2 linked regions of the Saccharomyces cerevisiae S288C genome follow. The protein of the gene in region 1 interacts with the protein of each later gene in a pairwise test. Each region holds a gene or a part of one and is shown on either strand. Other genes may lie near its edges.

The links.
Region 2: the proteins of TMA22 (region 1) and TMA20 interact in binary tests that used the Saccharomyces cerevisiae proteins (3 or more experiments, as listed by UniProt).

What each region holds. Positions count from the first base shown.
Region 1 is NC_001142.9:459,655-462,977, forward strand, and holds TMA22 (Tma22p), read left to right. Parts: upstream 1-2,174; coding exon 2,175-2,771; downstream 2,772-3,323. Other genes in the region: YJR012C (uncharacterized protein), read right to left, coding at 141-539; GPI14 (glycosylphosphatidylinositol-alpha 1,4 mannosyltransferase I), read left to right, coding at 728-1,939; YJR015W (uncharacterized protein), read left to right, coding at 3,067-3,323.
Region 2 is NC_001137.3:165,397-168,666, reverse strand, and holds TMA20 (translation machinery-associated protein 20), read left to right. Parts: upstream 1-1,781; coding exon 1,782-1,792; intron 1,793-1,895; coding exon 1,896-2,430; downstream 2,431-3,270. Other genes in the region: GTP-Rho binding exocyst subunit SEC3, read left to right, coding at 1-859; PAC2 (Pac2p), read right to left, coding at 2,584-3,270. UniProt on the Saccharomyces cerevisiae protein: Involved in translation.

The sequences.
Region 1 (3,323 bases):
GTATTCTTTTAAACGCAAAAAGGGCAGGTCTATGATTAAGTATGAATGAGCGATATAAAATTTAAGTAGAAAAGGGAAGATAATAGTACTATATATAAATATATAAATGCATTTTTTTACATACCTGTTGGGTGAATAATTTACCTAGCTGTTGGATTTGCTGTTACTGTATTATTGTCGTCATCATTGCCATCGCCTTTATTGTTATCATTGTTATTGTCATCATTATCGTTGTCACTGTCATTAATCTGTAACTTAGACTGTATATCGTAACATTCAGACAGCCTTGTTAATGAGGTCATGCCTTCTAGGCTTTCTTGATCAATGTCCAGAGATATATTGGGTTTGTCTAATGATCCTTGATGAGATTGATGCTGCAGCTGACCTTCCCAAGGCCTAGGTCTTGGCCTCAATGAAGGAGTACTAGCTAAACCCTCATCCAGCGTAACATTGGGCACCTCCACAATATTAGGTATAGGCTTGTTATTCAGAATGTGATCCAGCAACTCTTCATAACTAAGTTCACCACCTGCTGCCATGCTTGACTCGTTATGTTCGCAATCAATTTTCAAGAGGTAAACCGAAACATGTGGAGCTCTTTTACAGGCTCCGATAATAATAAAAGAAACTTTAATAGTTGGTAAGAACTTGACAAAAAAAAACACAATATATATACATAAAAAAGTCAACAACTGACAAGCAAGGTAAAAGGTGATAAAGTTGAAAGATGACTGGCGAAGAATGGGGCTTGACTGTACTGTCATTCTTGGTAAGAGTCGGATTTTTTCTTTTTGGCATTTACCAGGACGCTAATTTCAAAGTGAGGTACACTGATATCGACTATTTTGTGTTTCATGATGCTGCTAAATATGTATACGAAGGCAAATCACCTTATGCAAGGGATACATATCGTTACACACCGCTACTAAGTTGGCTGCTAGTGCCTAATCATTATTTTGGATGGTTTCATTTGGGGAAGGTCATATTTGTTATTTTCGATTTGGTTACTGGGCTCATTATAATGAAGCTTTTGAACCAGGCCATCTCCAGAAAAAGAGCTTTAATATTGGAAAGCATTTGGCTATTGAATCCGATGGTTATCACCATCAGTACAAGGGGAAACGCTGAAAGCGTGCTTTGCTGTTTGATCATGTTCACGCTTTTTTTTCTACAAAAGAGTAGATACACCCTAGCTGGAATCTTATATGGTCTTTCTATCCATTTCAAAATATATCCAATCATATATTGTATCCCAATAGCAATTTTTATATACTACAATAAAAGAAACCAGGGTCCACGAACACAACTTACATCGCTACTCAATATCGGTTTGAGTACTCTAACAACTTTGCTTGGATGTGGTTGGGCAATGTACAAGATATACGGATACGAGTTTCTGGATCAGGCATACTTGTACCACTTATACAGAACGGATCACAGACACAATTTTTCAGTGTGGAACATGCTATTGTATTTAGATTCTGCAAATAAGGAAAATGGTGAGTCCAATCTCTCAAGGTACGCATTTGTGCCTCAATTGCTGCTTGTTTTAGTAACTGGATGTCTTGAATGGTGGAATCCCACATTCGATAACCTATTGAGGGTTTTATTTGTGCAGACGTTCGCATTTGTGACATATAATAAAGTGTGCACATCGCAATATTTTGTTTGGTACCTGATCTTTCTACCATTTTACCTCTCAAGAACGCACATTGGTTGGAAGAAGGGGCTTTTAATGGCCACGCTTTGGGTAGGAACGCAGGGAATTTGGTTAAGCCAAGGTTACTATTTGGAATTCGAAGGCAAGAATGTATTCTATCCTGGACTATTTATTGCAAGCGTGTTATTTTTCGTCACCAATGTGTGGCTACTGGGTCAATTTATTACTGATATTAAGATACCGACGCAACCCACAGTTTCCAACAAAAAGAACAACTGACTGACGTGAACTTGCACCATGTACATCAATTCTATAAATCTACTCATATAATGAATGTGTAAATATGAAAAAAAAAATGCAAAAGCGCACCACCAAAAGAGAAAAAAGCTGAAAAAAAAAAGGAAAAAGATACTTGATGTGATGTGTGAGTGAAAAAATTATTAATTCCTACTGGATAAAATCACCCCAAGGAAACAGTTCAAGAGCTAAACTAAAGAAAAGCATATTGCATAAAATGTTAAGAGAAGTCATCTATTGTGGAATTTGCTCCTACCCACCAGAGTACTGCGAGTTTTCAGGAAAATTAAAGCGTTGTAAAGTTTGGTTATCTGAAAACCACGCAGACCTTTATGCAAAGCTATACGGTACTGACGATAATACGCAAGAGGTGGAAGCCGTGACCAACAAACTGGCTGAATCCAGTATTGGCGAAGCTAGAGAGGAAAAGTTGGAAAAGGACTTGCTGAAAATTCAAAAAAAACAGGAAAACAGGGAACAAAGAGAATTAGCTAAGAAGCTGTCATCGAAAGTGATCATTAAAAGAGAAGCTAGGACCAAGAGAAAGTTTATCGTCGCTATCTCTGGGCTGGAAGTTTTCGACATCGACATGAAAAAGCTAGCCAAGACATTTGCGTCTAGGTTCGCCACAGGGTGCTCAGTCTCGAAAAATGCAGAGAAAAAAGAAGAAGTTGTCATTCAAGGTGACGTGATGGATGAAGTGGAAACTTACATACATTCCTTGCTGGAAGAAAAAGGCCTAAAGGACGTCAAAGTGGAAACCATCGATGCTAAGAAGAAGAAAAAGCCTGCTGCAGAAGGAGCTGCCAAGTAAGCAATCCATAAATATGTAATAGCACCGTTCTGGGAGAAAAGGACTTTTTACTTGGTAACCAGGCGTGTAGGTTAGATAGTCAAACCCTATATCGTTCTTGAGATCGTCGCTCATATATACTGTGCAGCCGGCCCTCGTGCGCCTGCGCCGTTCCTTCTCTGAAACCTTCGTAGTAGGACAATAAATATAGTCCCCATTGCCTATTCAAATTATTTGCAACCGAAAAACTGCAAAATTTGTTGTTGACCATAGGCGTACAAAACACAACTCAATCCAGCCGTAAGTAAGTATAGTTATGACTTCATCTCTAGATGATATAGAACCAACAGCATATAATAATATGGAAGCGGACGAGGAATATTGCAGACGCAACGATATACATGACCTTTCCAGCGTGGTCGGTGATGCTGTCTCACAAGGTGTGCCAGACATGGATGGTCAAACAACGGATTCTTCGAAGGACCCTGAGCCAAATTCCGAGGATAAGAAAGCGTTTCCTCCTTCGAGTGGCTCATTTTTTTCTCCTAATCTACAGGGTCAAAGGAAGAAAGT
Region 2 (3,270 bases), on another chromosome or scaffold:
AATAAAACAAGTGTGGTCTGATAATGTAGAAGAGCAGGTTTTGCACTTCGAAAGAATTTCTAACGCAACCACCAATGGAGAAATTCTTCCAGGTATACTTGATTTACCAGTAGGCTTGAAGAATTCAGAAGATTTGTTCCAATTTGCTAAGAGGTCTATGGATATTAAAGATACCGATGAAGGCTACGAGTCCATCGAATTAATGAATTCGAGCTTCAGGAAGCTAAGCATAGCTGCCACACGATCGATAACTCACAAAGAAGTTAATTCAAGCATTAATCCAAACCTTTCAGATACTGCTGCTTTAAATAATGACTATATGGAAACTATTTCTCTCCTAGTGAACAGTAACTGGCTAACTGAAATGCTTTCCATGTTAAACTTCAATAAGGATGGTATATTTGATACGTCATTGCAAAACGTTAAGAAAGTTTTCGATGTGGAAAAAGAATCTTATGCTTCCTTTCTACTCCGCGATACTATGCCTAAACTAACAGCCTTTGTTTATGGTGTGAGCAACATCATTGAAAATACCAACAATGTGAACATGACCAATCCTTCAAGATGGGCCGCATATAGCAGGCAGAACCTAGAGAACATTCTTTTAGCATACACTTCCCATGAAATTGAAACTCTAGTAAAAAGGCTGCACACTCATATGGTAAATGACTTCGGTTACCACCAAGAAAATGCCATAAACAACGTCCTATGCGATAAGTTGTGGTCGTGCATTCAAGGTCAAACCGTCTCACTATACTTGAAACTATACACTGTAATTGATAAACACTATAGAGGGACAAACATACGCTTCACGAAGAACGATATCATAAGTGCGTTCGAGGAATACAAGAATGCCTAAGTAACCTCTGCATTGTCGCTTCATATTACATATTTAGACTAATTAAGTAAATATTTTGATAAATTTCAATTTCAAATATCGTGTAAAATGATATATTAGTTTTCGAATTTTTTTTTCTGAATATAAAAGGAACAGAATATTAGTTAGCTTCATTGTCCAATTACTATTGTTACTTACGTTTAATGCATTTTCTTTTCTTTCACTTCCTTCCTTAATACTCCATCCTTATGCACGGGAAATACGCATATCAGTGAGGATTCGTCCGAGATTGTGTTTTTGCTGGTTGAAATTTAATTATAAACCAGACCGTCTCCTCATGGTCAATTCGGTGTTCGCTTTTGAATACTTCAAGACTATGTAGGGAATTTTTGGAATACCTTTTTTCATTACCGATATTCATTCTTTCAAAGGGACTGTTTATTTTTCTTTGGAAGTAATATCAAAAAATAGGTTAGGGATACCGGACTGAAACATTCAATTGAGGGCCCAACCATATTTTTCTTTTCTTTTTCACCGAATTCTCTAATGTGAGTTCACGTTATAGAAGCTGGAATTGTAAGTAATACAGAAATGGCAACTAAAATGGTAGGCATGAGTGTTCTCCTTCTTGTGTGTCTTTCTTTTCACCCGATACAGTAAACTTTGTATAGGAGAGTTGACCAATTACCTGACAGTGCCGTCTATAAACGAGACCTCAACTTCACCTCAAAAACCATAATTTTATCTATTGATAATTATCATTATGGTCATTTTCCACTAAATTCATAGTTACCTTACTCTTATGCTTTGTATTTGTAGGTGTAAAAATGACGAAAAATTTAATTATCTGAAAAATTATTGTGTGAAAAAACTTGATTTTGCTATAACCTTATGTAAAACCATATAAAAGACAAAGACGGTAAACTAAAACAGCAGAGAGGAAATGTTTAAGAAGTATGTCTAACATGAGAATGAATATTGCGTAATTCACTGGTTTTACCAGGGGTTAGTGTACACTTTTGACTCAGTAAGCAATTACTAACATCATCATCGATAGATTCACAAGAGAAGATGTCCATTCACGTTCAAAGGTCAAATCTTCAATTCAAAGAACGTTAAAGGCCAAATTGGTCAAGCAGTACCCCAAAATAGAAGATGTTATTGATGAATTAATTCCTAAGAAGAGTCAAATCGAGTTGATTAAATGTGAAGATAAGATCCAATTGTATTCCGTCGATGGTGAAGTTCTTTTTTTTCAAAAATTCGATGAACTGATTCCAAGCCTGAAATTAGTACACAAATTTCCAGAGGCTTATCCCACTGTTCAGGTTGATAGAGGTGCTATTAAATTCGTTCTCTCAGGTGCTAATATCATGTGCCCTGGCCTAACTTCTGCGGGTGCCGACTTACCACCTGCTCCTGGTTACGAGAAAGGTACGATTGTAGTCATCAATGCCGAAAATAAAGAGAATGCATTGGCTATTGGTGAATTGATGATGGGTACTGAAGAAATTAAATCAGTGAACAAAGGTCATTCCATAGAATTGATTCACCATTTGGGCGACCCCTTATGGAACTTCAGCGTTGAGTAACAAACGGAGCCGTCAACACTATATTACTATCCATCTGCTACATAATAAAATAAAGAAACTAAGAAAAAATTAGAATAACATCCGCTTACAATCTAAAAGGCTGTTTCCTGATTTTTAAATATGCAACTAGCCAAGATTAACTATATACTGTGATTACGATGGGCTGTTAACCTTCTGAATGCTCTTGTTATTTACTGGAGACGAAACATGAATAATATCTCCGTTCACAACATTAAAATCTGAAATGGGGCGAAAATTATACTTTATTTCGTTTATCATCCCTTCAGAATTTTCATGAAATAACTTAACATTCAGTATGTCAAAGTTTAGCTTTCGACATATTACACTCTTAACGTACCTTACTGTAAAACTGGGAAGGACCCAATAATCTAAATCACTACTCGGCTTCTTGCCAGCTCTTATCTTTATTTTTAAGACAAGAGATTGCCGTGTTTCTCTTTCATTGTTGAAACTTAGCTTACTCATATCGATTTCATACGACTTTATGAGGCTTGACCAACGCGGCAGATTGGTGTCATAGCTCAATTCGTTATTCATTACCTTGGAAACAAAAAACATCTCAGCCTCTCTTCTTGTTTTTACATCACATATTGATCCATTCAATACCATCACACGATCAAACCTAGCCAGTACTTCATAAAAAGTAGCCTGTTCTTCGACGTTAATATAATTTCCGTTGTAGTTGAATTCGTTGCCACTCAGATGGATATTTTTCAAAGAGGGAAATGTCTTATTCAAATCATCTATCAAACTTCTTTCCTTAAATTTGTTATCTGTTATATCCAAGGATTCAACAGAATAAATAGCAATACTTGGTGC